Linked DNA regions of Alligator mississippiensis. The protein of the gene in region 1 purifies or fractionates together with the protein of each later gene. This does not show direct contact. Links are inferred from orthologs where the notes say so. Each region holds a gene or a part of one and is shown on either strand. Other genes may lie near its edges.

The links. Proteins that work in one complex are often made in the same cells at the same time.
Region 2: the proteins of MINK1 (region 1) and STRN3 purify together in Homo sapiens (affinity purification with mass spectrometry; 3 studies listed by BioGRID and IntAct, with this or other methods). This does not show direct contact. The link is inferred for Alligator mississippiensis from reciprocal best matches to the Homo sapiens genes MINK1 and STRN3.
Region 3: the proteins of MINK1 (region 1) and CNOT9 purify together in Homo sapiens (affinity purification with mass spectrometry; 3 studies listed by BioGRID and IntAct, with this or other methods). This does not show direct contact. The link is inferred for Alligator mississippiensis from reciprocal best matches to the Homo sapiens genes MINK1 and CNOT9.

The regions. Positions count from the first base shown.
Region 1 is NC_081838.1:23,812,084-23,819,385, reverse strand, and holds the start of MINK1 (misshapen-like kinase 1), read left to right. Parts: upstream 1-4,267; coding exon 4,268-4,537; intron 4,538-5,287; coding exon 5,288-5,353; intron 5,354-5,712; coding exon 5,713-5,769; intron 5,770-5,864; coding exon 5,865-5,990; intron 5,991-6,192; coding exon 6,193-6,303; intron 6,304-6,593; coding exon 6,594-6,684; intron 6,685-6,947; coding exon 6,948-7,078; intron 7,079-7,302. Other genes in the region: PSMB6 (proteasome subunit beta type-6), read left to right, coding at 1-128, 501-628; uncharacterized protein C17orf114-like, read right to left, coding at 2,830-2,966, 3,085-3,148, 3,562-3,603. UniProt on the Homo sapiens protein: Serine/threonine kinase which acts as a negative regulator of Ras-related Rap2-mediated signal transduction to control neuronal structure and AMPA receptor trafficking.
Region 2 is NC_081825.1:253,306,557-253,314,584, forward strand, and holds the start of STRN3 (striatin-3), read right to left. Parts: upstream 3,020-8,028; 5' UTR 2,845-3,019; coding exon 2,554-2,844; intron 2,516-2,553; exon of another isoform or gene 2,394-2,515; intron 1-2,393. UniProt on the Homo sapiens protein: Calmodulin-binding scaffolding protein which is the center of the striatin-interacting phosphatase and kinase (STRIPAK) complexes.
Region 3 is NC_081827.1:253,766,525-253,774,244, forward strand, and holds the start of CNOT9 (CCR4-NOT transcription complex subunit 9), read left to right. Parts: upstream 1-4,701; 5' UTR 4,702-4,787; coding exon 4,788-4,811; intron 4,812-7,720. Other genes in the region: USP37 (ubiquitin carboxyl-terminal hydrolase 37), read right to left, coding at 2,825-2,980. UniProt on the Homo sapiens protein: Component of the CCR4-NOT complex which is one of the major cellular mRNA deadenylases and is linked to various cellular processes including bulk mRNA degradation, miRNA-mediated repression, translational repression during translational initiation and general transcription regulation.

The DNA of each region.
Region 1 (7,302 bases):
GGGCGGGATGTTGACACGGCAGCCGGTCTCAGTGGGTGGCTCTGGCAGCTCCTACATCTACGGCTACGTTGATGCCAACTACCAGCCGGGCATGAGCAAGGAGGAGTGCCTGCGCTTCGTTGCTAATGGTAACACCCCCCAGGATCCAGGCATCTGGGATCTAGTTTGGGGCCAGGTGGTAGGCAGACCCAGGCATCCAGGGAGGTGTTGGAAGGGCACTGCCTTGAGTTGGGGAGAGGGGAACTCAGGGGTCCAGGGTGGTTATAGGGGAAAATTGGAGAGGGTGTTGGGACCCAGGCTTCTGGGGCAGCGGGTGGAGGTGGGGTACTAGGGCAGGCTGGATGGTCCTGGGGGGGGTATGGGATGGGATCCAGGTAAGGCAGGAGAGGTGGGGAAGATTGTGGGGAAGAACCTGGAAGCTGGGTGGCTGTTAGAGGTTCTTGGGGGTGGGGTTGCAGTGGATCTAGCGGTTCAGGTGCTGACTGCCCTCCCTCTCACAGCACTGGCGCTGGCCATGGAGCGGGACGGCTCGAGTGGCGGTGTGGTGCGGCTGGCAGCCATCACCGAGCGTGGGGTCGAGCGCCAGGTGCTGCAGGGGGACAAGCTCCCACGCTTCTCATCTGCTTGAGACCAGCGCCCCCCGGGGGCCCAATAAACTGCTCTTGGAACCTTTCCATGGCTGTATCTGCGTGCTCTGTGCTGGGAGCCTGGATGCCTGCGTTCTCTGGCTATGGGAAGGGGTGGGGGGGCTCTCTTAGCTGGGCTGGTGCCCCTCACTCCTGCCCTGTAGGGCCTGCCTTTTTCACCACATGGTCAAGCTCTGTCCCCCTTGAAACTAAGGAGGGAAATACCTCCCTTATGTCCTCCCCTTGTATGCATGCAATTGCAGCTGTCCTGTGCTGCCCCTGGCACATGTGCAGTAATGTCCAGCTCCTTGGCAGCTGTGTGGTGCCTACGCTGCCTGGTTGAGCTGCTTCCAGAGTGTGATGTGGCTCCATGGTTACTGCTGCCTTGGCCTAGCCCAGCCACAGATGGGAGTGTTTCCAGGGGAATTGTCCCATGCACCCAAGAAATAAGCCAGAAACAGCAAACCCCATGCAGCAGTGATGTCACTAGGCAATTTCAGTGGAGATCCTTAGGACCACAAACCCGTGCTCAATGCTAGATGGCAAGGCAGGGGCAGGGGCCTGTGGGGCAGGAGTGAGGAGCACTGACAGGGGCTGCAGGTCAGGAGTGGGGCACCCACCTCTGCCCCCTTCCCCCAGCATTGAGCTGAATGTGCTACCTCTGGTGCTCTCAGCCCATCTCTTCACCACTACTTTCTGGAGTTCAATGCCAGCAACTTTGTGGCCGGCTGGGATCCATACCAGGGTGGACAGGTAAGATCCTGGCTGCCCCGCCCCCCCCCCCTCCTGCCTTCCCAGAGCTGCTGTGCCTAGCCTGAGACCCACCCCAGAGCCAGCTGCCTGGGACAGCCCCCAGCCCCTGCCGCATGGAGCTGAGATAACATCCCCCCCCTGCCCCTCCTAGGTGTACCTGGTGTGGGGCAGAATGCTGCTCTGGTAGCCAGTCTCAGTCTCTGGGAATATTGATACCAACTACTAGCTGGGCATGAGCCAGGATGAGTGCCTACACTATGTTAGCAATGGTAAACCCCACTCCCCTCCAGCAGCCAGGAGCTGGTTTAGGCACCCTGTGGGGAGATGCAGGGGGCCAGGAAGGTGGGGGGGGGGGGGTTAACCTAAGAGCCTAGGGCAGGAGGGTTGGGGCAGTGCCAGCTACAGGGGGGACCTGGGGGTGTTGGGGGCATCCAGGGCAGTGCAGGAGTAGGGAGAGACTGTTGAAGGGGGCTGAGGGAGAACCTTGGAGTCTAGGGCATTGGGGAAAGGGGCGGGGTGGGGGGGCTGGTGTGGATCTGGGTGTGCAGGATTGGACTGGTGGGAGGCATTTGTGGGGGTGGGGGGAGTTCTAGGGGGAAGAATGCAGGAGTCTGGGGAGGCAGGGGCTGCAGTGGACCCAGGCATCTGGGTGTTGAGCCGCCTCCTCCCAAGCTGACAGGACATAGAGCAGGGTGGCTGGAGTGATGGCGAGGTGCACCTGGCCGCCATCATGGAGCATGGGGTCGAGGGCCAGGGGCTGTAGGCAGACCAGCTCCCACACCCCTGAGAGCTCCCCCATCTCTAATCCAGGTCATGAGCCCCTGGAGATGCAATAAACTGCTCTTGGGACCATCTGCACCCATGTCTGTGCCCTCTGTGCTAGGCCCTGGCCACCTGGGTTCCCCAGCTGTGGAAAGGTGGGGTGGGAAATCTCCTGGCCCAGCCAATGCCCTTCACTCCTGCCTGGCAGCCCCCTGCCCCTCCAGCCTTGCTGGTACCTCTCACTCCCAACCTGCAGCTCCTAGCAATACAGACCAGATGCCATTTGATCACCGCAGAGTTGTTTATTGAGGCATTTGGATGTGGGGGGGTTGGGATGCGATCCCTCCCCCATGCCATCGGATCCTAGAGCAGCAGGGCTGGGAGGGGCCTCAGGGGTGGGGGGGGTGGGCTCTGCTTGGTTCCCCCCCATGGTTCCCAGCAGGCGATCGGACCCCTTCCTGCTTGGTCCAAGCCAGTCCTGGGGCCTGGGGTTGTCCCGCGTGGGATGCAGGACCCTGCCCTCATCTCCAGGACACTTCCCCTACTCCAGTCCTCCCATGGCTGGCGGTCTCTGGATCCGTGCCCCCCCCAGCTCGGTGTCATTGCTGAGGGGCTGTGGGTGCCCTGCACCTCCTCTCTCACCAGGGCGGGGGGCTCCAGTGCTGCGGGGATTGCGGATTTGTCCATGTCAGCCGGCCACTTCGAGAGGGGCATCCAGCTGGTGGCGGAAGGACACACGTGCCTTGCCGCTGAAGTAGGCCCGGGGGGTTCCTGGCTCTGGATCCGGCCCTGGTGGGCTGGGGGGGTCCTGGGGCTGCATTGTACCTGGGTGGGGAGAGAGAGCAATAGGGGATCACAGCAGAGTATGGGGATCCCTCGCCTGTCTCAGAGAGTCATGGGTTAGAGCTGGAGGAGGGGGTGTGCATGGGGGGGGGTGTCTCACCTGGGCTCCGGCTCCGGGTCCGGGAGCAGAGGAAGCAGCGCAGCAGCCGAGCCCGGATCCGACCCTGGGAGAGGGCGGGGGGGTCACTGGGGCTGGGTGGAGCTGTCTACCCACTCTGTGTTTTGCCAGCCTGGCGCCTGGACCCATAATTATAGGGCTATGCCTGGGCGCCAGACAGGATGGGGGGGTAACCTCCCTCCGCACTTGTTTTTGGGAGCAGCCTGCGACCAGGTGTCCCCAGCTGGGGCCCCCCCCAGACCCTGCAGGGACCCCAGGCGTCTGGATGCAGAGGGTGCGGGGGACGCAGGTGTCTGCCCTGCCAGACTGAGCAAACCTGGGGACCCCACAGACCAGGGCAGCTGTGGAGGACCCCCCACCTCAACATGGAGGGACCTGGGGGTCCTGCCCAGGGGATCCACGCGTCTGCTCGCCAGGGCCCCACAGGCAGGAGACCCAAGTGCCCTGGAGCCCCCTCACCTGCTGGGCTTCCCCGGTCGGGGGGTCCCTGCGCCCCCCCATGGCTGCCCCGATCCGGCTGCCCTGGTACTAGACATGGCCCCGCCCCTTGGATACGCCCCCGGGACACACCCACGAGTCGGGAGTGGGCACCGCAGGGTGGGGGTCACTTGCCACGGGAAATAAGGGGGGGGAGGGAGGGGCATGCCCCCCTCCTTAAGGCCACATCCCCAACAAGCCTCGCCCATTACAGACCACGCCCTCTCAGTTCTAGTTGTCCGAGGCAAGCCCCGCCCCCAAGAATTGAAAACAAGGCGGGAAGCACCTCTCTCGCCACCTCCCTGTGCTCATTCGCAGTCACAGCCGCCTTTCGCTCTCCCCACGCCTCTCACTCGGTCTCCAACGCATGCGCAGCAGTCCGGCTCCTCAGCGCCGGCGCGGAGCTAGGGCTGCCCACCTTCCTCTCCAGCGCAGGAGCGCATGCGCATTGCTCACTGTTTCGTGAGGTCCTCCCACCCACTGACGAAGGGTTTTTGAACCCGAAAGCTTGCTTAATAAATATTCTCCAACTATTTGGGTTGGTTTAATAAAAAATATCAAATTCACCCAAAGAACCTTGTCTGCCTACGTCCTTAAACCAACACGGCTACAACCTAAACCCCTCCTACTCACTTTTACACGCATGCTCACAACAGGGATTCGCCCCCTGCTCCCGGGCCAGCTACGCATGCGTACCAAGGTAATCGTGCCCTTTACTGCACATATGCTTCCTGGTAATTCCTTCACACTGCGCCTGCGCCAAGACTGGCGCAGGCGCAGTTCGGTGCTGCTGCCCGGGCGGCGCATGCGCAGTTCGGTGCTGGCAGTCGGTGCGCGGAGCCGCGGCCGCCGGGGGCCGGTGCCCGTGCCCGGTGCCGCCCCTGCCCCTGCCGCCCCCAGCATGGCGGACCCCGCCCCCGCCCGCAGCCTGGACGACATCGACCTCTCCGCCCTGCGGGTAAGGGTAGGGGTCAAAGGTCGCCGGGGGGTTGTCAGAGCGGGGTCAGAAGTCACGCCTGTCCGGGCCCTGGGCAGGCGGCGGGGTTTAAAGGTCAAGGGCGGCTGAGGGGAGGGGACAGGAGGTCAAAGGGGTCCGGGGGCAGGACATGGGGTCTGCGCCAGGGGAGGGGGTTGAAGGGTTAGGGTAGTCCCCTATTATGGGCTGGGGTCAAAGGTCAGGGCTGGGGTCGGAGATCCACGTATCTCTCCCTTCAGACAGGTCACCGAGGGGTGCGATACCTCGGGGGAGCCGGCGGGTTTCCCGGTCCCCCTCCCCCCCCCCCCCCCCCCCCGAGTCCCTGCATTGCACCCAGTACTGCCCCCGGTCACGAGGAACCCCTTGCCCCAACACCCCCTCCCCCTATGCAGCTCCTGGCCAGATCTGGCATTGCTCCCAGGTGCGGCTGTGCCATGCCGTGGGCCTGCCCCAGCCTGCCTGCATGGGGGGGTGGTGGGGCGGACTCCTGGGCTCCCCAGGTCCCCCCTCCCCCGCAACCCACATGTGTCAGGAGCTGTACACCCCCCCGCCCCGATGACCCCATTCCAGCCCCCACTGGGATCCTCTGCCGGAGCCAAACCAGGCCAAGGAGAGTGGGGGGGGCTTCACTGGCTCCCTTCCCCCGCCCTGAGGCAGGCCCTGCCCCTGGAAGGGGGTGGGGGCAGTCTGCTGGTTTCCCCACCCTGTGACTGCCCCCCCTCTCCCCCCCAGGACCCTGCTGGGATTTTCGAGTTGGTAGAAGTCGTCGGCAATGGGACCTACGGGCAGGTCTATAAGGTGAGACCCTCCCACCAATTTAAATGCCTCAGTCCATCCTCCCCCCCCCGCCTGCAGACCCAGAAGCCTGAGTCCCTTCGGCCTCTCCAGGCCCCTCATGACTGTAGCTGCCCCTCACGGTCCTTGTCACGTGGCTCCCACGGTGTGTGCTGCAGGCTACGGGAGCAGGGCAAGAGGGGACGGGAGCCTAGGTTCTCTGGGAGGGGACAGGAGCCTGGTGGGGAGGGGCTGCACACCCAATGCCTGGGCTCCCCACCGAGAGCCAGTGGTGGGGGATGGCCATGGAGCTGGGGTTCCTGGGAGGGAAGTGGGGTCAGGTGGCCCACTGCCTTCCCCCATCTGATGCCCTCACCCCCTAGGGCCGCCATGTCAAGACAGGGCAGCTGGCAGCCATCAAGGTCATGGATGTTACTGAGGTACGAAAAGGGGGCTGCGGGTCGGGAGTGAGGGGCACCGGCAGGGCTGGATGGACAGGGGCTGCGGGTCGGGAGCTGACCCCCTGGCCCCCCAGGACGAGGAAGAAGAGATCAAGCAGGAGATCAACATGCTGAAGAAGTACTCGCACCACCGCAACATTGCCACCTACTATGGGGCCTTTGTCAAGAAGAGCCCCCCAGGGCATGATGACCAGCTCTGGGTGAGGGCGGGTCCTAAGGGTCTGTTCAGATTGGGCCTGGGGGGAACGGGGGTTGCTCTGAGCCCCTTGAGGGGAAGAGAGGGGGCCAAAGAGGAGCTTGGACCTCCCACAGCTGGGGAGGTGGGGGGTCGAGGGGATGCTCAGGGGATCCTAGGGTGCCCCCAGTCTGTGACCGACACCCCTCCCCCTGTGCCCCCTCCAGCTGGTGATGGAGTTCTGCGGCGCTGGATCTGTGACTGACCTGGTGAAGGGCTCCAAGGGCCACGCGCTGCGTGAGGACGTCATCGCCTATGTCTGCCGCGAGATCCTGCGGGTGTGTGGGCCCCCCCAGACACCGGGGTTCCCCTGGGGCCCAGATGCCTGGGTTCTACTGGGCAGGGGGAGTGACTGGAAGCCCAGATGCCTGACTTGCCCAGGAGAGGCTGGGAGTGGCAGGGACCACAGCAAAGCCTGGATGCCTGGGACTGTCCTCACTTTGGGCGGGGAAAGGGGTCTTGGTGCCCAGATACCTGGTTTCTTTGGTCCTATTGGGCCTCTGGGGGGACAAGGGATTTCTGGACATCTGGGTCCCTGGCTGATTTCCTTCCCCCCACACTCCTGTAGGGCTTGGCCCATCTGCACGCGCACAAGGTGATTCATCGTGACATCAAGGGGCAAAATGTGCTGCTCACCGAAAACGCTGAGGTCAAGCTGGGTACGGCCCAGATGCCTAGGTTCCCTTCCCCCAGACACCTGGGTCCTGTCCTGTCCTGGCCCCCAGATGCCTGGCTCCTCCCCTGACCCACCCCCCAGATACCTGGGCCACTTCTCTCCCAGATGTCTGCATCTTCTCCTGTCTTGAGCCCTGGGCACCTGGGTCCCTTCCTTGGCTCAGATGAGGGCTTCTCTGGGGGGAAGGGCCAGGGGCGGGGGTAGGGCTGGGGGCGGGACCTGACTGCCGTCCCTGCCTCCCCCCAGTTGACTTCGGGGTCAGTGCACAGCTGGATCGCACAGTGGGCCGGCGCAACACCTTCATTGGCACGCCCTATTGGATGGCGCCCGAGGTTATTGCCTGTGACGACGACCCCCATGCCACCTACGACTGCCGGGTGTGTCCCCGGATGCCTGGGTTTCCCCGGGTCCCCCCACCTCTCCCTGGGGCCCCCAGATGCCTGGATTCCTCCAGGACTCTCCCACCCCTCCCTGGAGGCTGGGATCCAGCCCCAGATACTTGTGTTCCACCTCGACCCCATTTGTGGGGTGCTCAGGCACTGAGTCCCTCCCGCCCCTGGTCCATTGAGCCATCAGATGCCTTAGAACCCAGGGCGCCGGG
Region 2 (8,028 bases), on another chromosome or scaffold:
CTTAAATAGAAGGAAAAGTTGCAGTGGCACAAATTCCTCATTTTAAATGTGCTACAGCCCATAATCAAGGGCTGGATACAAAGTCCCATCATAATCCATCAACATTGCAGTTGGCCAAAAGGGACTGAATTCTGTCCCAAAATTGTCTCATGACTGTATTTGTAATTATGTAATATGGTTACACTTGCAGCAATGTGCTTTCTTCAGTTTACAGTCTATAGCCACTTGAATGCACAAGAAGGTTTACACCCTGAGAAAATAAAATGGTCCTAATATAGTAACAGTAACTATCAGTAGTTAAGGAAATTTCAGTGTTATTCAGCATTATAAAGGTGAGAAAGATTTACTGTACTTTACTCTAGTACTACTTTACCACTTATTTTAACATTTGTGTGTCTAATCAACTGTTCTACATATATAAGTATGATAAATGCATGTGCAACCACACACTGTTACATGAAATTATACATCCATATATCCATCATTCAGATGCAGACTTAACCATTAACTGAAGTTATTCTTGCATCTCAGTCCTCTAATACTGCTTAAGGTAAAGGGAGTGTAACAGCACTTGGTGACCAAAAGACTGCAACACCAAACATAAGTAAGCACTGGAAACAATTTTTTTTTAATTAAATCTTTCATTCCAGTGTCCATCAGATCAAATAGGCCAGATAAATATATAGTATAGTAACAAAAAGGAGTGGGTTATTACAGGTAGCCACCTCTCCATTTACCAGTATATCTCCACATTCTCTGTCATTTGCAAAGCATCCCCCATCCATGCACTTTTATTTGTACAGAGGAAAATGAAAAGAACTCATTAGTTTCATTCTGGGAGTAAGAAAATGCCTGCATTCTTAGAAAGAAAAGATGACAGCAATAAATTGACTCCCCTACACAGGTCAGTAAGATGCTCTGATCTCACAACAGTACTTGTTTTTCATTTATTTCTACGAAGTGTCATTTTCAAAGAAACATGGATAGCGAGTTAATTGAAATCAGAAAGAATCTGTAATAACTGAAAAAGTGTCTGTAGAATAAACTGAAATGTCAGAAGAAGGGAACCACACAATCAAGAGTGGCTAAGAACCTAATATTCATGTGTCAGTATTAAATACAAGACCTCAATCTTTCAAGGACTATTGCGGGTGGCTTAATTTTATGTAGGTGAGTAACCTCATAAGCCTGAAAGGTCAAAAGGGTCTGCACAATTAGGGACCAAAAAAAGAGAAACTGTTGCTATTTACAGCAAAAACTGGATCTTTACCATATATTATGACATGAGCCCCACTATAATGTTAAAATAGTGGTTTATAAATATAACCCCCCCCTTCAACAAAATATATGTAATTTCTGTAACACAAACCAACCAAGCTCTAGAAGTCAATCATAAGAGTCAATAGCCACAAGTTTTCAGTCTGATCATGTTTGCAGTAAGTTATTGTATTGAAATACAGTATTAGCACTGCTGAAACACAGGAAACAAGACGCACAGTTAAGTGCCCTGCCACTGTCCCAAGTTAGTCCTACTTCAAGAACTGAGTTAACGCTGACCAAACTAGCTCCAGAAGCAACTGGGTCCCAAAATTTACTTCACTTACAGTCTTTGTTATAACTGGGCAGTGGGGTGCTGTTTTTATTATTACTCCAGTGATACTGAATCAAGAGTACTAAGTACATGATGCACCCATTATACTAGAGCTGAGAAATCTGGTGACAGGAGCTGCTGCTTTGAAATTTAAATGCTTTATAAATCACAATCAAACAGTGTTGCAATATGCTCTAATTGGAAGGGGGTGGGGTTGGGTTTTTCTTAAAACAGCAAATTTCTGACCTACTGCTGCAAGCCATAAATACATCCAGGTACAATTATACACAGCAGATCCCTTAAGCCGGTTTCACTACAAAGAGAAAACTATTTCACTGGGACACGCTGCTCTCTCCATATTTTCCCCATAACTAAAATGCTTTTCTATGCACTTATAAAAGGGAGTCCAAATCTGCCCACCCCCTCCAGGACCAGACTGGGATCTCGGACAGCAAACAGCAGCGCTATTTCCACATGCCCAAGTCATGAGGAAGGTAATTCCTTCCCCTCACTCCAAGGAAAGATGAGAAACCGCCTCCCTCTGCTGGAACCAGACTCGGGGGCTTCACAAGGCCCGGTGCCATGGGCCAGCTGCTGACAACGGGCCGGAGGCGACCCCGGGGGGTGAAAGCCCCCTCGCCTCGCCCCCGCCCGGGGGCAGCCGCCGTCCCGGGGACTCCCCCTTCCTTGCGGAAGGAGGGGAAGTCTCCCTGCCGCGGCCCCCAGAGCCCCCGCGTCATTGTGCTCGGGGCGAGGCCCGCAGCTGTCAGGGCGCGGGAGGCGGGGGCGCTGCCCGGGCCTGCAGGCGGGGCGCGGGCTGCGAGCCGGCAGCCCAGGCGGGCGCCATGCTAGCAACCAAAATGGCTGTCCCGGGCACAGCAGCCCCGCGCAGGCCGTGAGGAGCCGGGCCGGACGCGCCACCAGGTACGGTACCGCACCGCGCCGCGCCTCTCCCCGCGTACCTGCAGCTCGGCCCGCTCCACCTCCCAGTGCGCGCGCTCCATCTCGAAGCGCGCCCACTCGTGCTGGATGTAGTGCAGGATGCCGGGGATGGTGTAGTGCTGCGGCCGCGACAGCTCTGCGCCGCCCGCCGCCTCCTGCCCCGCCGGCGCCGGCGCCGCGCCCGCCTGCCCTCCCCCGGCACAGCCCCCGCCGGCCGCCAGGCTCGCGCTGCCCGCGGGCGGCTGCTGCGGCGGCGGCTGCGGCCTCGGAACGGCCGCCATCCCGCCGCCGGCGCCGGGGTGCTCGTCCATTGTCTGCGGGGAGCCTCCTCCTCCTTCGGGTCCGGCGGGCGGGGCGGGGCGGGGCGGGGCTGGCTGGTGGGGGGCGGCCGCTGCGGGCGGGGGCGGGGTGGGCCGGGCCGGGCTGGGGCAGCAGGGGGAGGCGGCGCCGAGCGGGGTGCGAGTGTCAGAGCCGCGCCGAGCCGCCGCTGCCGCCGGCCGCCATTACAGCCGCGAGCCCTCGGCCTGACTAGCCGCCCACTGCGGAAGGGGGGGGGGGGGGACGGGCGCGCGGGGCACGCCGGGAAACCACCCCCTCCGCGCGCGCCGGACTGCGCATGCGCAGCTGAGCGGCCCGGTGGGGGCGCGGGCCGCTGGCCGTGGTCTCTAGGGCAGGGGCCTGGCGTGCGGGGGCGGAGCGGCCGCCCCTCCCCCCCCCGGCAGCCGCATTCCTCGGATGCTTCCGCTGGGGCCGCCCCAGCGCTGCGCTTCCCCGGCTGCGTGCGGGGGCTGGGAAAGGCCCCACGTGTGAGCGGTGCCTAACGGCCAGTCCCGCGTCGTTTCTTTCTGAACCAGAGCAGCCCCGAGTGTGCGCGTCTAAACCTGCCTCGTGTACCCACCTGCGCCGCGATTTGGGGGGTATACGTCTGTACCTGTACAGGAACATAGATAAAAGACATCAAGTTATCTAAAGAATTTTTTCTGGCAAAAATCTTGTTGGTCTAATATACCTCTGTCCACGAGTCAAGTTTTCTATAAAGAGATTGTGTTATCTGTCATCAAGATCTATAGATAGATTCATATATCTTTTTATAAAATAAAGATGGAAGATCTCTTTATTAGTTATAAAGATTAGCTCGATTACAAATTTTTCATGTGTGATCATGGCAGGTTATATTTTTTATTTGTATTTCGTTTTGAAAAATGTGGGCAGTTTTTCAAGCAAATGACTGACTTGCCAGAGAAATCAAAGCACCACGCAACTCCAATGCTGGTTGTAGATCTGCCAGGACAAAAAAAGGACATGGAAAAACATTTTTTTTTTTAAGTATTGCCCTTATTAACAAAGGACTATTCTTTTTTTCCCCCAAGAAGTAATTTAAAAACCTCTCCTTCATTATTTTGTAATCTTTCCTTAATCCGGGGTCCTTTCCCCAGGGAGAAAGTCTTGCAAATATTTATCACCATGCTTTGATTGGTTTCCCTGCGAAACTGGTAGCAAATTCCAGTTTTCTTCCTTATTACTTATGAGATGTATGCTATCTTCAGTCTAAATCAGGTCAGACTGTCACAGATTCATTGCCCTCAATTTCAGCAGTAATGACAGGCATATAAAGACAAATTAATTTCAGCTATCACCTCCTGCTTGAAAAAAATTGTCACCCATAATTAAATGAAAGAGGGTGTGGTTTCATCTTTCCCACAAACATATCTTTAATAACAGTTTCTTAAACAGGTTCTTTTACTAGGTGAATCAGAAATTGTATCAGTTGCTCAAGCATGGACAAATTCATGTACCATACATGGTTTTTAATCCTATGGATCCACTCTAATGACTACCTCCTCTGCTCCTTCAGGATAGGCATCTCTCATTCATGACTATGTTCTCGCTTGTAACTTCCTCCTTCTCAGCTACTGAGTTACTTTTTAAAGATTTTCCTTAAAACCTTCCTCATTGCATTAGTCCATGACAAACCTGACCCTCCATTCTCTGCTGACTAGCTGTTCCTCATCAGACATTCAGCTAATTCAGTCAACTTCCTTTTACTCAATTTTCCCTTTTCTTTCTGTTTGAAAGTTACTGTATTGAGCTCTGGTATGCATATGCTCTCTTTCTACAACTCATCATAAACCATTCTGTAGTACTTACGTGCAAGTCCTCATAAAAAATGTATTAACACAGGCATTTAAAAGAATTATGGTTAACAACTGAATCACATTGAGGGCAGTAAAATTCCTAACAATTTTCACTGCTTATATTAGTATCCAGTGAAAAACAGGAAAGATTATATCTGGTAAAATTATAATTCCCCATGGAATTTCCATGCTTTTTTCAGTCTATAAGCATATAGTATTCCTTGACAATTAAAAGGAATTGGGAGAGATGTTTTGCTCTTTCCTTCCTCCCTAACTTCCTTAGATTAGTGAAGGCTTTGATTTTTTTTTTCTTTCTTTCTTTTTTGGTCAAATTCCTAGCCCTTGAGTTGAAGCTGTTTTTTCTACCTCAGGTCCCATGAAAGAAGTTACTTCACCATCAGAACTAATGCAGTTCACATAACAGGAGGTCAGGGCATTGTTTTTACTACAAATGATTAGGAGTACTAATCAACTTTAATAGTTCTAGATGAATGGCTTAAAGATCTCTAAAAACCAACAGGCCTTGTCCCTGCTCAGAATCAAGACTAGCAGAAATAAAGGAGGTTCTTGACATATAGAATCTCTTCCTTTGCTGCACACCTTCCTTTGATTTGGCAATAGGATCATAGCCACATGTCTGGTGTACAAGGAATTCATAATCATTTGTACCTAATGATGAATCATTTGTACCTAAAACACTTGCTCTTACCTTATCACCCACTAGCTTTTGGCTTTATAATAGATTCACCTTTTTGTGCCCTTCACCTATTCCTGCCCAGCCACTCTTCCTTACCTTTCAGCTACTTAGTGTTTTTTTTCGCTTCACTTTTGCTCCATTTCTTGCTACTCTCATGTGCATCACATGTCAACCTATATATAAAGTGGGTGTATGTGGACATGCTATTACAGTGACACAATAAACTCCAGAGCAGTTTGTACTGGAGTTAACTGCTCCAGGGCATGGCATTTACACATATCTCTCCAGCAATTAAAGCTAGGGTGGAGCAGCCCAGGGATCCGGCTGGCAGTGGCGGGCAGCACAGGGGTCTGGCCCCTGGCTGGCTGGGCTGACCAGGCGCAATTTGCACCCAGTTGTAACCATCCACATGAGCATTTGATCGCAGTTAAATACTCTGCTGTAAGAAAGTTCTATCCCTGACAGTTCTCTTACAGCAGAGTTAATTTACTGTGCCCTAATACCAGGACACATATAGACGGTGACACTTTACTTGCAGCTAATTAGTGAACTCCGCAGTAAAGTGCGCGTGTAGATGCACCCAGTAGATAATAAAAACACAGCCCTCGCTCCAAAACCGTATATGTCTAAGTGACATATGGAAAGCCAACAAAATTTAGGGACTTGGGAATCACAAATCAGTTGAAGTGAGATGCAAAATTTTTTTTTTTTAGATAACTACAGGGGATTTAGGCAAAACTTAGGCTTCTAACTCACAAACAGTGACCTTGCTCTGGCAGCCACAAAATAACTTAAGGCAGTGCTTCTCAAACTATCTGATGTGGTGGACCGGCAATTTTTTTTCCAGTGGGCCAGGGACCGGTGCCTGGTTCAGCCGGTGGCAGCAACTGCATGTAACAGCACTACACAAACGTGTGACCGGCTGTTGCTTTCTCTTTCCTCGCCTCGCACGACATGATGTCACCTGCAATGTTGGAACGTACGAACTGTGGCGCTATGACATATCAATGTTATGCTTCTGAAAATATATTTCTTTCTTTCCCGGCAACTCGCTGCGGACCAGCCGACCGGTGGCTCGCGAACCAGCACTGGTCCGCAGACCACCACTTTGACAAGCACTGACTTAAGGCACACAAAAAATTAGGTCCTTCCATTTTGCTCAAGGAGAATCCTTAGGTGTCTGGTTTAAGCTTGTGACAGTCTCAGAAACCATCTAGATCACACTGAAGTTTCACCTGTGCTCCATTGCAGTCTCAGTGGTGCTGGGCAACGCTGATGGTCTGCCTAATGTTCTGATGTGTTATGTGTTTGTGGAGCTTGCTAAACACACTTCCAGGATTATTACTATTTTTAAACTAATAAATGTCTGATATAAGAGGCATGACTGATCCTGGTACCACATGTTCCCCACACCCAGAGGAGTCTCCACCACACTGGGCTGCTGAGGCATTTATCTACTTGCTCTTTCTGGCTCCTTGAATTTTGTGTTCTGGGCTATCCAGTAGTCCAGCTTCCCATAGAGGGCCCGCCCTGCCCAGAGTAACCTTAGGCTGAAAATGCCTAAAACTCAGATCTCCTTCCTGAGCAAGTGTACTAACCTGTCGATAGTATTATGTAAAAGGTGGGACATCACAAATGCTGCCACCAAATATGTGCTGTCTTACATTGAACTTGGTTTTGATGTTAGCATGGAGAGAGGCTTCCTGGTTCAGGGAGGCACCTATGTTCTGGCTCCTAGCTCTGGTTCTGGCTCATAGTTTGTAAGGCTGAAAGGGACCTTAGAAGATCATTGGGTCCAGCCCCCTGCACCAGGCAGGAAAGACAGCTGGGGTCAGGTGACCCCAGCAAGGTGACTGTCCAGTCTCCTCTTGAAGATTTCCAGTGTAGTTGATTGCACCACCTCTGGAGGGAGCTTATTCCACAGTTTTCCTAATGTTGAGCCTGAAATGGATCTTCCAGGAGTTTGTGGCCATTACTCCTGGTTTTCCCCAAGGGTGCCCTGGTGAACAGTTGTTCACCGAGCCCTTGATGTATTCCCCTGATGTAGCAGTAAGCTGCTACCAAGCCCCTCTCAGCCTTCTCTTTTTCAGGCTAAAGAGTCGCAGGTCCCTCAGCCTTTCCTCGTATGGCTTGCTGTGCAAGTCTCTGATCATATAAGTGGCTCTTTGGACTCTCTCAAGCTTTCCCACATCCTTGTTGATGTGTGTCACCCAGAACTGGACACAGTACTCCAGCTGCAGTCTCACCAATGCTGAGTAGAGCAGGAAAATCACTTCCCCACTCTACTCAGTTCGATTGATGCATTCCAGAGTATTATTTGCCATGCTGGCTATAGCATCACACTGCCGGCTCATTCTTACTGTGATCTATTATTACCCCCAGGTCCCTTTCGTTCATAGCTCTGGTCAGTTGGGCGCTGCCAAGCCTGTAGGTCTGTAAGGGGTTGTTCATCCCCAGATGACCACTTTACATTTCTCAGTGTTGAACTTTATCTGGTTCTGACTTGCCCAACTTGCTAGCCTGTCTAGCTCTGCCTGTATCTATAGTGTGACCATGCTTCCCCATAACTTGGTGTCATCCATGAACTTGGCCAGTGAGCTCTTTACCCCCACATCCAAATCACTGATAAAGATGTTGAGAAGTACTGGACCAAGCATGACCCC
Region 3 (7,720 bases), on another chromosome or scaffold:
TGCTTAAGGGGCATGGGGGGAACTTATACTACAGCCACCTTTTCCTGTGTCTTTACTCCTTAGCTTTGAGAAGCCAATATAAGTAACACACAAGTCCATATATGAAGTATGTCAGGCAGTAAATGGGTGTTTTGACTGGTGAAATTACCCACCACCAATCTTTCCCAATTACCCAATGCACACTGAACTAAACATGTTCAGTCAGTAAGAATTCAAGAGGGTCTGCAAAACTTTGTTCCCTGATGGGTTTATTTCAGAAGAGAATGACTCTCCTTCATGTCACCATCCAAGTCCAAACCTCCAGCTGAAAAACTCTAATGAGTCAACAGTATTTATTATCCACCACAATCTGCATTTGTTTGCCATGCCTTATTTCAACTAGATTGTAAGGCCTTCATGGCATTTCCTATTGTGTTCCCGTATAGCACCTAAGTCAAACAAGTCTTTAAGCAGCAGTGTAACATAAGGAGTATGAAAAGCTGCTAAAATCCGGAAAGACAAGGTTCTTTAGGTAAACGTGATCTTATTAGACCACTAAATAGTTGGAAAAATTATTCTTCACAACCAATTATTTAGTTGGTCTAAAAAAAGATTATCACATTTACCTAAAGAACCTTGTCTGTCTATGCCTTTAGACCAACACGTCTACAGCCAACAACTCTACAGCATCTAGAAAGATTTTCTTCATTTCTTCTAGAAGTTGACTGCTTAATTCTCTGATGAATTTGAAACGGAAGATGAAAAAGGGCTGACACTTCTGCCAAAGCCTCATGTAAGAGGAACCACTATTGCAATGCATGTGTCACCTGACTGCTGAGAATTTAGTCACGTACATTTTAAATCACCACTGCAACAGCTTTCTGTCACTTGCGATAGATAAGGCGTTCAGCATTGTTTATCTGCATTTTTATATCAAAACGTTCACAGAACACATTGACAGCACAGGACAGAGTCTAGACAGCAAGCAGGTAACAAGGCTGATAAAAGGCTTAGAAAGCAAGTCACATGAGGAGAGGCTAGAGCTGGGCATGTTCAGTTTGTGGAAAAGGAGACATGACAGCAGCCTTCAAATAATCGAAGGACTGCCATAAAGAGGGAAAGCTTCTTTTTTCTCTTGTTGTAGAGAGGAGGGTGCAGACCCATGGCTTGAAGTTGCAGCAAAGTCAGTTTAGATTGGATCTCAGGATCTCACCACTACGCTGGGAAGGAGAGGATTACTGGAGGGTTCAAGGAAAGGCTGGATGTGCACTGGGTGGGAAGGATCTAGGTGCAGCGATGCCCGTGCTCTGCTGTGGGGGTGCTCCGGGCTGCGGGGCTTTGCTGGTTGCTCCCCCCCTCCCAAACTTTCTGCTGCATGTGTCAGTGGGTTTTTAAGCCTCCCTTCGTGGCACTGGGTGTTGGCTGCAACCCAGGCTGGAGATGGGGATTGGGCTGTGCCAGTGCACTTGCTAGGACTTCAAGCCTGACGTTCCCGCTTCCTGTCTCTCTCCCCCTCTCAGAGTCAGACCAACATCATATCTGGGGTGAACCTTCCTCTGTAGCAGGGGGATATGGTCTTCTTTCTGGGATCTCTTGAGCATATATTAATAACCTTTATAGAAGCAGGCTGCTAGCTGTCATAGTCCCCTTGCTTCACCCATGGCAGGTTTGGGTGTGACGCCTGGTGTTATGTCAGGGGTGACAATAGTTTTACAAAGAGTTTAGATCATGACTTGTACAGGATGGTTGGGATAGGGATGATCCTGCCTCAGGAAGTGGGTTGGACTAGATGACCTGGGAAGGCCCCTTCCAGTCCTACTTCTGCCCTCTATGATTTCTACAACAAGAAATTTAATCTTCCCATCAATTAAGCTAAAAATCTCTGCCAGCAGTGCAGTAGCTTGCTGCGCATCTAGGAAAACAGATGCAACAGGTACTTCCTGAACCAGTAAATCCTCCCAGTCCCTTCTAGGTACCACCACTGCCCAAGACTCATGAGGTCAGAAGGACCTTACCAAGTACACAGTAATACTTAAGGGAAGAACCACGCAGAATTACACTTTATCTTACATGGGTCCAGTCCATTACAGCAATTCCCAAGAGCTTTTAATGCTCTTTCCTTCAATTCTTTGTCTGTTTGGGATTTTTAGACAGTACGGGTTCTAAAGAGCTTACAATCTCCTCACGTAAGCTGGACAAAATGTACGTAGGGCACCACTGCATTAAAAATAATAAATTAAGAGAAACAAAAGGCAAATGAAAGGAGGAAAAATAAGGTTGACTATTGGAAGAGATTTCTCGACAGCAAGCACTCTCAAATCTCCAGAGAGAGATGGTGCAAGTCACACTGCTTGAAGCATTTAAAACTTAGTCAGGCCAACACTTTGAAGATGAGCCTCACATCAGTAAGCAGAAAGACTACCAGTAGATCCACACTGGAATTTTTCAGCATTTCAACTGGGAAAAGCACCAGAGTAGAAAAGGCCCCGAGGTCCCAGTAGACTTTCATCTCGATTGTGTAAGTGTATCAGGTGAAAGGGTTTGGATTTCCAACAAGCTGAGAGGCCAGGTGCTACACAGCTCTGTCTTCTTTTCGTGGTTTCTAGGTCTCATTTCTTCCCAATTAATGGTGCGCTCCCTGCCTGGTGTGGCAGTTCACCTACCAGAACACCTGAATAATTTACAGCAGGGTTAGACAAAAGGATTAGTGTGCTGGAAACGAGGAACAAGAAACAGTCTCAGAGGGAAGTCTGTGTGACACTTAATAGTCTCAGAGAGGACAGCTGGTCACAAAAGGGCACAATCTATGCACAACTCAGACAAAAAGCCTCGATAGTTGGTGTACCTGAAATGTCTTTGGAATTCCTCCAACATTGTAGTGAACCACTAGACTCACTTTGTTGTCCTTCTCCACTATTTCAAAGCTTCCTTCTTTCCATTTTGTAATCCCAGTCTGCATACTACGCATCCGGACGGGGCCGTGTACCTTCAGCGGAGCCATGTTGTCTTGCTATTAAACTTACAAGAGATTGCGTTGGCTCCACCTTGAAACCTGTCCAAGAGAGACGTACAATTGGCAAATAAAAATAGCTGTGGAAAGTGTAAAAAACATTTCTGGGAGGTACAGCAACAAACCGATTTCATGTTATTACCTCCAGATGCCTGCTGGACCAAAAAAACCCCAATTTTCAGAGCATTAATTATTTTACCCTCTGAAGATAAGCTGCACCAAAGGGTGTTGAATAGACACCAAAAAAAAATAACCTTGAAAAACCTCCGTGAAAACCCTACAGATTTTCCAAACAAGCCCGATTTTGGCTGAGACCAAATACGTCAAAAGAAAGTTTTCAAGGAAATCTATACCTGCAACTTCTGCAAAGTCCTGGTGAATTTACACAAGAAGCATTTTTTAGGGAGCACCTAACCTCTTTAAAAGACAAAAGTCACGCCGTCATCTACTCGTATTATCGTGACCCCGATCTCCTCTACCGGCTAACCCGCGCTGCGATCGGGATGACACCCAGCACCGCGGGATCCCCAGTGACGCAGGCGAGGAACAGAACGTGAAGAACGACGTCATTGTGCCGACAGTCCGTGACCTCACAGAGGGATGACCCGGACTGACCCGGCCCCGCGCTCGCTCCTGCCCAGGGCGCGGGCTCGGACTCGATGGTGTACTGGGGTCCCGTCCGACCCTAACAACTATGAAACCACGGAGAAAAAAGGGAACCGCTTCCCAAGGGAACCCACACGTAACCCCAAACGCAACCCGTACGATGCTATTCTGCGTTAAAACCCGAGCACGCCGACGGTGCCGTGACGCCAGGACGGCCGATCGGTTTAACGGAGCCGCCGGGCTCCAGAAACGTTTTATAAACGAGGGGGACCCTTTCGCTCTTGCTCATCGGTAGCGACCGACTCGCCTCGACGCCCTCGCAACGTGCCCGGTCCCGAACGCCGTCCGCCGCGGCTGCCCGGGAACAAGACACCATTGTTTAGCCGGTGTTAAAGGGGAGGGAGGGGGGCACGCACCCTCCCGCATTAAAGGGGAAAGGATGCTCTTGTATTAAAGGGGAGGGGGGCTGCACCCTCCCGCATTAAAGGGGAGGGGTGCACCCCCTCCAGCATTAAAGGGGGAAGGACCCTCTTGTATTAAAGGGGAGGGGGGTTGCACGCCCTCCAGCATTAAAGGGGAGGGGGTTGGGGGGCGCACTGTCCCCTAGCAAGCGTGGTGGCCGGCGGGGCGGGGCCGGGGTACGAGGGCCGCGGCCGGGCGGCGGTGAGGGAGCAGAAAGCGGAGCGGCAGACCGGGCAGGGAGCAGAGCAGTGAAGTGGGCAGGGGAAGGGGATCGGAGTGGCAGTCAGGGCGGATGAGGCCCATTTTAGAGGCGGGAGCACTGAGGCACGCAACAGGCAGGGCCTGCGTGTCCGTCCCCGAACGCACCGCCGCGGCCCCGTGTTTGCTGCTCCTCCCCGCAGGTCTGGGGGGGGGGACTCCCCACACCGGGGGGGCAGCTCCCCCCCGGGAGACACCCCGCTCCGTACCTGCGCGCGGCGGCGGCTCCTGAGGGGGCGGGGGGAGGGCTGAAGGCAAATGGCGGGAACCAGGCGACAGCGTGAGGCCGCACGCACGGCGTGCCGACGTCACCGCGCCGCCCCCAGCATGCCCCACGCGCGCTCACGCGCGCTGCCGCCGCCCGCCAGCCCCGCGCATGCGCATGGGGAGGGGTCAGAGGGCGCCGCGGGGGGAGGGCAGCGCGGCGCCATGGCGGCCTCCTGAGCGCGGCCCGAGCCCCGGCGGCGCCGCCATGCACAGCCTGGCCACGGCCGCGGTGAGCCCGCGCCGCCCTGCCCCGCGGGGGACCTCGCTGTCCTAGTACCGGGCGGGCGGGCGGGCCATGGTATTTTTTGTGGGGGCTGGCCGTAGTATTGGCGGGAGGACCTAGCAGCACTGTGGGGGGGTGGTCCATGGTGTTTTGGGGGGAGGGGGTCTGTCTGTGGTGTTTGGGGGGGTGGACCTGTAGTTTTGGGGGGAGGGGGGGCTGCCCGTGGTGTTTGGGGGGGCGGTCCCATAGTTTTGGGGGGAGGGGGGTCTGTCTGTGGTGTTTGGGGGGGCGGTTCTGTAGTTTTGGGGGGGAGGGGAGCTGTCTGTGGTGTTTGGGGGGCAGTCCTGTAGTTTTGGGGGGGGCTGGCCATGGTGTTTGGGGGCTGTCCCTTAGTTTTGAGGGGAGGGGGGGCTGGCCATGGTGTTTTGGGGGGAGGGGGGGCTGGCCATGGTGTTTGGGGGGCCATTCCCATAGTTTTGGGGGGGTGGTTGAGTCCACCTCCCTGCCTGAAGCAGGACCAGCCCTGTGCAAACCAGCCCAGACAAAGCGTCACCGAAAGTGTGTGTGAAACTCGTTGCAGTGCCAGGCCTCGCGGCCAGCCCTGCTCCGGGCAGAGCCGTGGGACCGCGGCTGCTGACCTCCTGCTCCTTTAACGGGTTGTTAACGTGCTCGGGAGATGCTGGGTGGAAGCCGTGCCCCCCCCCACCCCCCCGGTCTGTATTTAGAGGTGAGCGGCAGGCGGTTGCAGAGACGATGCCCTGTTGCGTCCGATGCTGCTTCCTCAAAGGCGTTGATCGGTCGCTGCGTACGAGACCCGCTGCCTTTTTGGATCAGTTTGTCTCTAAAGCAGCGATTCGGAGCCAGGTGCCGCAGCTCCTGGAGATCCTTTCGGGCCACGCAGCATTAGCGCTGTTTGGTGCGTGATCCTGATTCTCGAGATGAACCTGGAGATTTCAAAGAGGAATTCGTAGGCTTACAGCTACTCTGACGGACCTGCCGCGGGCTTTCTTTGCAGCCACAGAACCGCTCTGCTCTCTCTCTCTAGTCATAAATAGTGAGAAATAAGAGCTGGCATTTCCCAAGCATTTAAAAGGGTGAGACCTCCCCACCTTGCCCTGTCTTTTGCAGTACTGTTAGCAAGCACAGTGTCAATTATAGCAACTTTCACATCTTCCATATGTGTTAGAATATCACATTCAGATGGGATTTGCTGCTGTGGGTGTCAGTCAGTTGCTGAGCTAAATATTTAGGCTCAAAAGTGATGTTTGGTAGAGGACAAAACAGAAGTTTGGAGTTTAGTGCTCAGAACCATTGGCTGCAATCCCTACCGTGCTTTTCATCATATACGAGGGGCTGGTGGAGCTTCTTATTCTGTTTTCTAGTCTTCCCTCTGATGCAAAATCACTTTAAAGCAGCATTGATTAAAAAAAAACAAGCCAAAAACCCGCCTCTGGCTGCTACGAGGAGAGCAGGATATTGCAGTAGTTGATTTTAAATATTTGTAGTGGACGTGTGCTCTGGTCACAGCACCTGACAGAATTGTGTCCTCTTGAAGAGCTGCGCTGAAGGTACTCTAATACTGTACGTATATTGTATACTGTATATAGTATGCCTATATATCTGCTTTGGTTAGTCTGTGTGGTGCAAATTTACCCTTCTACTTGACTTTAGACCGACACGGGTAGCTACACCTTGATATTTTAATACTTTCAAGGGTACAGAGGCATAAATGGAGCCTAATTACACCCATCTCTGGAGGGAGCTAGTGGCTGCAACACATCCTGCTCTCCTCGAGGAAGGCCCTGGCTTAGTCCAGTGGGACTAAAGCGGGACAGTCTTATTTTAGGTTGAAAGAGCATTGCCTTTAGAAAGCTGCAGTAAGACAGTCCTGGCCTTTTATGTAGTGCCAGCATTTCGCTTTGAAAACTGAAAATAGCATAGCTCAGTACTGGGGGAGGTGTAGGGGGAGTAGAGATGAAAACAGCTAGCAAAGGGAAGCTTGAAGTAAAAGTAGGGGGTGTGAAAGCACCAAGCAAGCAGACCCAGGTTATTAACTAGAGAGATCGTTCTGGGGTTCTTGTGTTAATTATCTCACCAAAAATAGCTAGGACACAATATTGCCTGGCGGTGTGCCTTTCTCTAAGTGGTCAGTATTTTTAACTTGGATGTTTAGAAAGAGCTGCCTTTTTTATTTTCCCCTTAATTTCTTTTTTTCTTGTGGTTCCTAATTGTCTAAATGAATTTGTGTAACTCTCAGAGTTGTGGCTTGGCCCAAAAACCGGGGGAACACCTTTATTACTGCAAAAAGCGTCATGAGGCCTTTAACGCTCCAGAAGTGATCAGTCCTGGGTGTGGTAATGGATGTCCCAACTCTTGCATACTAAAGGTGCAACAGCAATCAGTCTGGGAAGATCCTAGATGCTCATCTGAATATTTGTGTGGAGTATTTGCATCTAACAATTGAAGTCCTCCCTGAATTTTAGGTAGAGAGTAGAAAAAATGTCTGGTAGTCTGGAAAGCAGCAGTTTGGGAATGTAAGAAATAACATTTCCTCGAGACTTTTAATTGAGTGTTTCAGGGACCGGTTAAATACGATGGGAGGCTGTAAAGCTCATGGAGACCAATTTGCTTCTAATTAACCAAGGTAGTGGACACCATGAACTTAATTGCCTGGAGAATGTATTTAGTATTCTCTGGAGATCTCTGGCCCAGGCTTACACTTCAAAAATTCAGCTTGAACTGAAACTTCCAGCAGGTCTGGCACAATTGGGCTGCACATTTGAGCTCAGCTAAAGGGCTTGCCGCTCAGTCATTCAAACCAAACTCTGCGGTGTTTGTAAGCCTCATTACTGGAGGTGCTAAGAGGATTAGTCTCCCAGCTCTTAACACAGAATGAATGTGTCACTATTCACCAC